Caenorhabditis elegans: one gene and its partner. Each later gene encodes a partner of the first gene's protein in a complex. Each region holds a gene or a part of one and is shown in the gene's direction. Other genes may lie near its edges.

Region 1 (5,689 bases):
TGATCAGTGTCAGAAATTCGGGTGCGGTGTAATCCACATCGGGATGCTCCAATTCTAGGTTGTTTCTCTCAATTACTGATGTTCGATACTGAAATAATGAAAGATCTGATTGAGTTATTTGATATAAATTGATTACTTTGAATTCTTGGGGAATATCGGCCTGGTTGAGTGGGAACTCCCGTACAAACTTGATAGTTTCAGCGCAAACATAGACGGGAACATGCCGTGATTTTGCGATGATACAAACATTAACAGTTCCAATTTTATTGATGATTCCACCGGTTTCCATGACTCCTTCAGCGCCAACTAGAACTGCTTGAATTCTTTCCATGACATATCTTAAAAAATAAAAAATGTATATACGTTTTTCTTATTGTTTTTTATAATTTCCACTCACCCCACACAGCTATCTAGAACTAAAGTAGTTGGAACTCCATTCTTTTTCAATTCTTCAAACACTAGTTTTCCTGAAGCATCCGGTTGCGATTCGGTGACCCAGACATGAAGGTGATATCCACTTTTGTGAGCATCAAGAATAGTTTCCAGAACCACTTTGCTGTATGAGTGTGTCAGAATATTCTAGAAAATACAAAGATTAAAATACATTAAATAGGAATTATTTAAATAGAAAAAAAAACGTACCATATGATGAGTGAAAAATAGACGAGCGCACTTGGAAATTTTGGCTCGAGAACCTCTGACATTCTTTATAAATGAGCGTGCTCGTTGGCGATACAGATCAAGAACTTGAGAAAAATCTTCTTGATCGAGAAGAGCAGCTGGAGCCAGAGAAGTGAATCTGGTGAACAAATCAGCGGCACTTCGAATTGATGTTGAGCTGTAGTCCGTTTTCTCGAGAGCAGCAACTACTTGATTTAGCTCATTTTGAAATTCGGCAACGGTGGTGGCTGTAATTAAGCAAAAAATTAATTGCCTAAATATTCAAATTCAGGAACTTACCGCGACTCCGGTCTAAAACCTCGAGCAGTGTTTCCACTGTGGCTAGACTCGTTGATTTGCTTGGATCGTTTTCAAGTTTTCCACGGAAAGATGAAATAATGCTTTCTTGAACCATGTTAGATGGAAAAAGTCTGCAAAAACAATAATGGAGAACGTTTGTCGTAGAAAGAAGAAATATTTATAGAAAAAATTTAATGAAAAAATAATGATGTAAACGCGCTCTATCGTTACGCAGAGAAGATAAGAGTTAGAGAGTTAGACAGTTTTGATAGTGGCAAATTTAAAAACAAAACATTTTTTTACTTATGTATTTAAAAGGTTTCGTGAAATTTAATTTATTTTCTCAATCTCGAATAAACATTTTAAACATATTTTTTGAGTCAGTCAGTTTACTTTCTACTCTCAACTATTTACGCATCTAAAATCTCCCATTGTGTGGCGAACTAAATAGGATAATAAATAATAATTTTCCTTTTCGAAACTTTTATACTATAATTAATTCCCTCAATTTGCTCCATAATCTCCATTAATTTTCCTCGTGTAATTGCTTCGTAGATCATTTGAATCGCCGCCGTGATACAGTACTATTCGCTAACCTGCACATCTTAAATACCATCGACAATTTTTTAAAAATTCATTTTCCATTTTGTTCATTGATTTCTTGGTTCTTTTTCCATTATTTTTGCCTCAATTTGTGCAAAAAGTGCTGGATATCGAATAATCCACAACGCTTTTCTGTTGTTCTTTCGGTTTTTGGGCCGTTTCTAGATTTTCCTCTCCGTAATACGAATTCTCGTGGGGAAACACGTTTTCCTTGTTCTTTGATTAATTTCTTTTGTACTAACTTTTCGACAAATATTTATTTATACTTTTTACAGAATCAAGCTTGTCCGTTTCGAAAATGGAAGAAGAACCGTACAAAAGAAAGCTAACGAAAGCCGAGAAAAAGGCAAAATATCGAACAGACTACGCCGAACCGTTGAAGTCACGCCGGGAAGTTCTGAAAGCAATTATGAATGGACCCGAGTCTGAGCGGGAGAGAAAAGTTCGAGCCAAAAATCGAGAATTTTTCAACGAGGACTATAGATCAGGTAAACATTTTAAAGTTCTTTTATTATTAAAAACTTTAAAAAACCCTCATTCATAATCTATACATTTAAAGGAGTCAACATCTACGGAATGGCTGTGGATATGATGAAAGCGATGCCGGATAGAGGAAAAACATCGGGACAAAGTTTGGCGGTTTGGTATCTGGAGGATTTTGGAGTTTGGTTAAAAGAGTCGGGACAGGAGACGGAGCTCAGACAGAAATATCTGACTGGAACTATTCAAATAAACGCCTTAGATGTGTGCACAATTGGACAAAAGCAGCTTCTCAGTGAAATCTTCGATATCACCAAAGAGAAATTCACTGAGGACATTACACAGTTGCTAGATGCTGCCATCAAGAAACAAGACTTCTCCGTTGCTGCAGATATGGCTATTCAGTACAATCTTCTACGGGATCATCATTTCGAACATCTTGTTCTTCCATTAATGCTATCTGGCAAAGATCAAACGGCTTATAAATTGATAAGTAACAATGAGAGGATGCAACAGCAGCTTGTAGAGTTTTTTGATCGAATGGTTGGAATCTCAGTGGTTGCCGTTGAAGAGATGCTGAAACCCTACAAGGAAACCAAAATTATGACGATTCCTATGGAGAAATTGACGGGAAAAACGTTGGACAAACTCATTTCGACGATTATCAACAAAAATACTCACGAATACAACTTCTCCAGGGAATTGTCGAAGTTCGCCAAAAACCACTCACAGAATGGGAATCTGAAGGCATTGAAGTTTAATATCAGTGAACGATACGAGAAGGGAAAATCCGATGACAACTATTTCCAGCATATGGTTGAAACTTTTACCAAAGCCGAAGATGTTCGTGAACCTATTTTGTTTTACTTGTGGAGCTCAAATGACACCGAGAAACAGTAAGTGACATTCAAAAAGATTTTTCTTTCTAAAATTCAATTTTCAGAATAGATGCCATCTGCTTTGCTATCTACTTAGGAATCGCTAGTTCCAGCAGCTATCAACTGCCGAATGTTATGAGGGACTTCTTTCGACAACCTGATTCGAAGCTCAGAGAAGCAAAAGAACTTCTAGTGAGAAGAAAGTAATTGTTTTCGATTTCTTCGACTTTTTTAAAACCATTTTTGTTCAGAACACTGCAAGTTCCTCTAAATGGCGAACAATTATTCGTATTTGAGAATGAGCGAAGAACTCAAATCCACATGGTGAAAACTGAATCTGAGATGAATTACTTATGTTCCGAGATCAAATCACTAAGCGACGAGCCAGCACCTGTTTACGTTGGATTCGATTCTGAGTGGAAACCGTCGAATCTTACAGCTGTTCAGTAAGTGAACAATTTCATTCTTAAAATTCCATATGCACCGATTTTCAGTGACTCGAAAATTGCTATCATACAATTGTTCTTCAAAAATTGTGTATGGCTTGTGGATTGCGTAGAATTAGAAAAGGCAAATATGGCAGATGACTGGTGGCAAAAGTTCGCATCTCGATTGTTCGGAGATTCTCCTGTAAAAGTCGTAGGATTTGATATGAGGAACGATCTGGATGCAATGGCTACAATCCCAGCACTGAAGTCATCCATGAAGATAGAAGATACCAAAAATGCATTCGATCTGAAGCGATTAGCAGAGAATGTTTGCGATATCGACATGGAAATTTTAGAGCTGCCAAAGAAGACTTTCAAATTGGCAGATTTGACACATTATCTACTGGGATTGGAGCTCGACAAAACTGAACAATGCAGTAACTGGCAATGTCGTCCTCTGCGAAAAAAACAAATTGTGTACGCAGCATTGGACGCAGTTGTCGTGGTGGAAACATTCAAGAAAATCTTGTCGATTGTAGAGGAGAAAAACAAGGACGCAGATATCGAGAAGATTGTCAGAGAATCAAATGTAATGGCTCCGAAAAAAGACAAAGGACACAAATCGTACCGCAAGCTGAAAACTATTCCATGGCTTGAGCTCTACGATATCTTGCGAAGCCATCGTAATCCTACGAGATCACCACAGCGACCACACGACATTAAAGTTATTGTTGACACAATGCTGATTGGATTTGGAAAGAATCTGAGGTTTGAAGTTTATCTTTAAAAAATGTTAAAGTTGAAAATTTTTATTTCAGGAGAGTTGGAATTGATGTTATTCTTCCAAAAGACGTGAGCGACTTCCGAAAGTACCTGAAGGAAATTGAACGAGTTGGCGGCGAGCATCTACGTCATATAATCACAGTGCCATCGAAAAGTTACGAAGCCTTGAAAATGGATTATGATAATTATACAATTGCAATTCCGGAACTCAATAACATGTCTCCCGTAGATCAGCTTATTGAGTTTTTCGACCTGTTCAACGTAGATATTCGTCCGGAAGACGTATATCCTCGATGCACTGAATGCAATTCTCGGCTTCAAATTAAATTCCCCGGACCAGTTTTACATTTCTTGCACCAATACTGTGTCATCCATGTGCAAAATGTTTATCGTGCGGATATGAGCGAATTTCCACTGGAAGGTTAGTTTATTTCTCGCTTGCGGTCAACATGGAAATTTATTTTTACTTATAGAATGGTGGAATCGTATGCTTCATATCAATCCAGACGACTACGACGGAGTAAAAGTGGAAATGTCGCGACCATCTCCAACAAGCAAGTGGATCGTGGCAACTGTTCCCACAGGATGCCTACATATTACGTAAGAAATTTATCCTTTAATATTATTAAAACCTAATTTGGCTTTATTTAGGCGACAAACTGCACTTCACACCAATCTGCCAGATGGAATTGAAGTTCGAATCCACAAAGTGCCTGATGACGAGTTCAAGCGTCGAAATCTCAGCTTCTATGTGTGTGGAGAATGCGGTACGGTGGCTTGTGATGGTCGTGGCAATCAAGCGTCGGAGAGCACCAGCCAGGAATGTTGAATTCGAAATCCCGTTCCCCTTCTCGTTTTAAACTTGTACCATTTTTCTTATTTTTTCCTATCCACATTTTGTGTCCTGCATGTAATATCACCTCGTCCCGGTAATAGTTCTAAGTTTATCTAGTTTTATTCTCCCTGTTCAACGGTTTTTAATATTCAATACTTATTCTGTTAATATTTTTGCCTCATCTGGCATTATTCATTTCAAATGAATATTTTGTTGTTTATTTGTTATTTTCCTGAGATGCACCGCTACATCGCGCTACGACGATCGATATATTCTAGGTCGTAAATAGAGTCATAGAAAAGAAAGAAACGCAGGATGAGAGAGAGGTGGAAGAGCGGGAACACATTCAATTGATTCTTCTTTACTTTTGTAAATGAATTTTTCGTGCTTATTTTAAATGTTTAGTTTAATAGTGACTCTTCTTTAAATTCAAAACTTTCTCCAATTTTTGAGAAAAGTGATTAACATGTTCATTTCGCAAGGCTCTACAATTTTAAATTCTTTTTTTTTTCATAAATTTGAATTATTAGATATAAAAATCTTTTTTTAAGATGGGAGATACAACATCATCGGAAGATGTTCCGGAAAATAAGCAAAAATCACTGAAGTTTGAGATTATTGATGCAAGAATGAAGATTTTCAAAGTAGGCTTCTTTTCATTCAATGAGGGACCCTAATTTTTAGTTTTGAACCACAAATACGGTAGCGGGTCTCGAAACAAC
Region 2 (4,766 bases), on another chromosome or scaffold:
ATCAACGGATGAAGGCGGAGTAGCGTCACTGATTGGTCTGAACGTAGGCGGAGCGAATCCCTTATTGGTCTTGTAGTTTTCACTTTAGAGTGATTGTAAAGATTAGAAAAGTTGCAATTTCAAATTTCGTTTTGTTATAAAATAAAGTGAACATTCTGATTTGTTGAATTTTCAAACAATTTCAGAAAAACGGAAAATCAGAAGAAAGAATTTCGTAAACGCCAAGAAATATTCGAGAAAGTATTTCAAGACGCTGAATCTGGACAAAAAGCAGTTGAGAATGTGATGAGTGATTATCGGGAGTCAAGAAATGCAATCAAAGTGCAGTTATATACCGATTCAAATGATTTTATTCAAACACAACAAATTGAAAAATCGGTGAGTTTATGGTTTCTGTTTTACGATTTGTTTTATGATTTATTAGTATATTTGGATACAGTGTATATTAAATATTTTATTCAATTTTTTTTAGACTTTCAAAAAAGTGGATCAAGGCTAAAACAAAATTGATTTTTTTTCCAGCATTTCAACGCTGCTGGAGACCGACTTCGTTCTTCTGAAATTCAATTATCAAAACTAGAGTCAGAATTGAAAAAGACAAAACAGGTAAGAATATATTTTTATGTTTATAGAACCTAGGGAAATACCCTGAACTTACAAGAAACTTATTTAATTATTGTATATAATTAAGCTAAAACTTTCAGATACGCGAAGAATATTATCAAGATTCCATGCAAAGTTGGTTTTCACGATTCTGGAAATATCTATATTGAAAATATTTCGTATTGTCACTATTGAATGAAATTTTAGCAAAAGCATAACAAAATTGAAGTTAACATATACAATCCAGTTTTGAACTTCCGCCAAAAACGGAAAATGCGTCAAGAAAGCTTGCTGGCGCTTTGAAGGATGGCGCAGAACCCGTTTTTCTTCTAGATTTTTAAACACAATTTTGTTTTCTTTCACTTCTTTTCCCACTAAAAACGATCAAAATGGCTGATATGGCTAAATTCGAAGAAGAAGTTAACAAGCTCAGAACTCTTGAAAAAGGTTAGTAACTGTTAATTTAAACAATCTTTTCAATCGTTTAATTATAGACCGCGAAAAGTACTTCACGAGTCGCCAAGAGATGGAAATGAGATTAACTGAGAGTAAAAATGTGAAAGCGGTAAGAAAAAGTTTGAGATTCAGTTTTCATGTTATCTTCATTCAGGAGCTTGATCTGATGGAATCCGACTCGAAAGTCTACAAACTCATCGGAGCGGTTCTTGTTCGTCAAGATTTGGAGGAGGCTCGATCGACTGTGGAGAAACGGCTTGAGTTTATCGACTCTGAGACGTGAGTTGTAACGTTTATCATGTTTCTTTAGTATTACTTCTTGCACGCTATTGATTTACACGAAACAAATAAAAATAACAAATAAATTTTACCTTTAAACGTTTTAAAATGCAACAAAACTTTAATTACAATTTTCAGCAAACGAGTGGAAGCCAGCATCTCAGACATTTCGAAGAAGTGTACGGAACAGCGAGACAAGGTGATGAATATGCAAAAAAGCTTCCAGATGATGGCTCAAGCAGCAGCCCAAGCACAGAAGAAATAATCCAGTTTGTTCTATGAATCTCATATTTTTTGCTCTTAATTTGTTATTTTTTGCCTATTCTTCATCTCTGGTGTTTCTCCGAAACGAGAAGATCACATTAATTTTTCTATGAAAAAAATAAGTTTCTTGTTTCGGGGAACCATTTACAATAAATGCTTTCAAACTGTTTTATACCATTTGTGCTCACGTCTATGTTAAAAGTCATTGCTAATTACATCAGTTCTGATTTATAACTATATTCATTTTCTTGCTATTCAGATGCATAATGGGTACCATTCTTATTTTCCTCCAAATCACTATTATGCTCAAAGTCAGCCATCATCGTCGTATAATCCCCAACCACAAATTCAACAACCGCAAACCCAAATATATGGATTGGTAGTTGGTTACAATAAATATGGAAACAGAAATTATCTTTTCTATACCAAAAATATCGATGGATTTGTCGAAATCAGTGGAAATATTCAGAGCCTGCAGATAGGACGCTGGCTAAAGTTAGACATTATTTTATCTGATTTTATTAACTAGCAATTTTAGATTAACTGTTTGTCAGAACTTCGTGGGACAATACGTATTGGATTCCTCAAATAGTTGTGGATATGAAAACTGGGACGTTTTGCCGAATCACAGAAATTCATCGGCGAGATTCTTTCCGAAGTATGAGGCTAACGATGAAGGAGAAATTTTGGTAATCTCAAATGGAAAAAGTTTTAATAAATAAAGAGTACGGATTTTTATAATTTTTCAGATAACAGCTCGATTTGATGTAATAGTAGATCGGAAAAATAATTTGTATGATTTCACCAGTTACGATATTTCCTATGATCATATTATTGACGACTTTAGTCTGATCAAATCATCATGTCAACACTATGATGGACGCAGTTTTATTGTTGAAGTAAGTTATCGATTTTAAAAAAAACTATTAAAATAAAAATATTGCAGGCTCAAGCATCTCTGGCAGGTTGGGTCGCATTGAGTGTGCATGAAGATCCACAAAAGCTACACACCTGTGATGCTGTAAGCCGAAATGGATATCAATCAGTATGTGGCAAAAGTGTCCTGGTTCATTTTGAATTGTTCACATTTTGGTTTTTGCTTATCAAAATTTCCCAGAACATATAAGCCACAACCTCCTGCAGTTTACATAATATAATTTCAGCTCCCGAATCCAGTCGTTGATTCTGATGTACAGTATCTTCATGATACAAGACTGTTGGATGTATGTGACTTATAGTTCAGAATTTTTCAAGTAATCACATTTTTAGATTATGACTGGTAATGGATATGTTCAAACACCCGAAACCGACGTACAAGATCAACAATCAAGTCAACATCAAGAAGACGTGCATTCTCAAATGAACTCGCAGACATCTGATTCGTACAATTCCTCTAGAGTTGTGTCAGAGAATCGGGAAATACCTCCGGAAACTTTTCGAAGCCAAAGTATCGAATTGAATCAAGTTGATTCATCCTTGTCCCAGACTACAATCTCAAGTCGAGCAGCACCAGTTATTGATTCAAATCAGTTATCAGATGAAGATGAAATTGATGATGAAGATACATACGGAACACGTGGAACATCTAATATTCCGATGAGACCGTTTATTAAAGATTTAGCTCCAACGATGCTTCAACTGCTTCGTCAAGATAAAACTGATTCCGAAAAAGTACGTAATGCCAGAACAATAATATTAATCTTCATCACCATATTTCAGCCTCAATCTGCTTTATGCACCGTTGTGCAAAAAATCGATGGCTTTGCAATTTTGTACACAGCCAAAAGAGACGTTATAAACGTTTTGCTTCAAGAAAGATCGTGTGAAGGATTGGAAAGATCCCCTCAACTCGGAGACGTGGCATTCTTCGATATCTTGCCTCGTAGAATTGAAACAAAAGATAGGCTCATTTTCAAGATTCCATATACACATATTGCAGGTATTTTACAATTTACCAATGTTTTAAAAAAACTTTAATTTTAAGTGAAAAAGAAACCAGACACGCCAGATTCTCTCCTTAAAATTGATTGCTTTAAAAACTCGGTCAGATGCTTCGGAGGAGTGCTTGAAATGAAAGTAAAAATCGCACTTTCAAAACCTGAACTAGTAGTGGAGCAATATCATGACAACACAGAGATGAACTCGGATCATCATTTTTATTATTTGAAAGCAACAAATGGAGTACTTGTCACAATTCCAAAAGAACGTCTTCTGAATCATTTGAATTCGAAATTATCAGCAGATTTTGACCTAATCGCGTGGGTTGTTCATCGAAAACCAATTGGAAATGTTTCATTACATATTGGAAAGGGAGGTGAAGCTTATCAACAGTTCACAAATGGAGATATTCGAGAGCTTCCGCCATTGTCTTCTAATCAATATTTCATGAATGGTAAGTAAGAGGGAAACCGAGTTTTCGAAGAAACCTAGGAGAATTCTTGGTTTTCTATTCAAATTATTATTTCAGTTCGAAAGTAAAAACTGCACAATCGACAAATCACGTTATGGGTTCAAATTGTATTCTGGTACATTAATTCTTGTTCTTGTGTTAACTTTTTTGATTATTTTTTGTATCATTTTACTGATTAAAGCATTTATTTTCACATGTTTATTGTTTATTTCTCGTTGTCTAGCGTTTTCATCGTTTGAAATATATTGCATATTGGTTATTTTTTGCCCATTTTTCAATATTTTAGTATGGCTTCCTCTTTGGTTAAAACCGCTTTGCGTCTTGCTTACCGTAATCCAGTTAGGTCAGGGTTACTGTAGGCAAGGTGTCTTTATCGATTCCACCATTTTTCAGGTTTACAAAGAGAAACATGTCGGAAGTAGATAAAGCCCACTTGGCGGCAATTAACAAAGATGTTCAAGCCAACGACACTCTTTTCGGAAAAATAATTCGAAAAGAGATTCCAGCGAAAATCATTTTTGAAGATGATGAGGTATGTAAGATCAGGCAAACGATCACATAAAATATTTATTTAAGGCTCTCGCATTCCATGATGTCTCTCCACAAGCTCCAATTCATTTTCTTGTGATCCCTAAGCGTCGCATTGATATGCTCGAGAATGCCGTTGATTCGGATGCTGCGCTTATTGGAAAGCTTATGGTTACTGCTTCAAAGGTAATTATAAATGAGTAAAAACGAATTTGAAAATCCAGAA

Evidence for each region.
Region 2: the proteins of mut-7 (region 1) and rde-2 are in contact, whole or in part, in a crystal structure (PDB 8Q66), measured with the Caenorhabditis elegans proteins. Residues at the interface, in NP_499105.1 of Caenorhabditis elegans: Ile688 (codon at 4,187), Asp695 (codon at 4,208), Lys698 (codon at 4,217), Tyr699 (codon at 4,220), Glu702 (codon at 4,229), Ile703 (codon at 4,232), Arg705 (codon at 4,238), Val706 (codon at 4,241), Glu709 (codon at 4,250), His710 (codon at 4,253), Arg712 (codon at 4,259), Glu770 (codon at 4,433), Arg774 (codon at 4,445), Leu775 (codon at 4,448), Val795 (codon at 4,508), Tyr799 (codon at 4,520), Arg800 (codon at 4,523), Ala801 (codon at 4,526), Asp802 (codon at 4,529), Met803 (codon at 4,532), Ser831 (codon at 4,668), Arg832 (codon at 4,671), Pro833 (codon at 4,674), Ser834 (codon at 4,677), Thr836 (codon at 4,683), Ser837 (codon at 4,686), Lys838 (codon at 4,689), Trp839 (codon at 4,692), Val841 (codon at 4,698), Pro845 (codon at 4,710); in NP_001021399.1 of Caenorhabditis elegans: Asp320, Glu321, Asp322, Tyr324, Thr326, Arg335, Pro336, Phe337, Ile338, Asp340, Leu341, Ala342, Thr344, Val367, Gln368, Ile375, Ile384, Asn385, Thr417, Lys418, Arg420, Leu421, Ile422, Lys424, Pro426, Arg453, Cys454, Phe455, Gly456, Gly457.

The regions. Positions count from the first base shown.
Region 1 is NC_003281.10:9,538,528-9,544,216, reverse strand, and holds mut-7 (Exonuclease mut-7), read left to right. Parts: upstream 1-1,836; 5' UTR 1,837-1,861; coding exon 1,862-2,051; intron 2,052-2,122; coding exon 2,123-2,939; intron 2,940-2,986; coding exon 2,987-3,124; intron 3,125-3,172; coding exon 3,173-3,367; intron 3,368-3,415; coding exon 3,416-4,117; intron 4,118-4,167; coding exon 4,168-4,553; intron 4,554-4,605; coding exon 4,606-4,732; intron 4,733-4,783; coding exon 4,784-4,961; 3' UTR 4,962-5,186; downstream 5,187-5,689. Other genes in the region: eif-2Balpha (Translation initiation factor eIF2B subunit alpha), read right to left, coding at 1-88, 137-338, 398-579, 643-908, 961-1,075; ZK1098.3 (uncharacterized protein), read left to right, coding at 5,519-5,611. UniProt on the Caenorhabditis elegans protein: Represses the transposition of Tc1, Tc3, Tc4, and Tc5, perhaps by degrading transposon-specific messages.
Region 2 is NC_003279.8:7,279,967-7,284,732, reverse strand, and holds rde-2 (SH2 domain-containing protein), read left to right. Parts: upstream 1-1,861; coding exon 1,862-2,097; intron 2,098-2,140; coding exon 2,141-2,291; intron 2,292-2,351; coding exon 2,352-2,501; intron 2,502-2,548; coding exon 2,549-2,647; intron 2,648-2,765; coding exon 2,766-2,825; intron 2,826-2,871; coding exon 2,872-3,273; intron 3,274-3,321; coding exon 3,322-3,541; intron 3,542-3,586; coding exon 3,587-3,994; intron 3,995-4,069; coding exon 4,070-4,080; 3' UTR 4,081-4,209; downstream 4,210-4,766. Other genes in the region: F21C3.6 (DUF4200 domain-containing protein), read left to right, coding at 186-378, 523-606, 705-773; pfd-6 (putative prefoldin subunit 6), read left to right, coding at 993-1,050, 1,098-1,168, 1,214-1,338, 1,477-1,603; hint-1 (Histidine triad nucleotide-binding protein 1), read left to right, coding at 4,422-4,544, 4,589-4,726.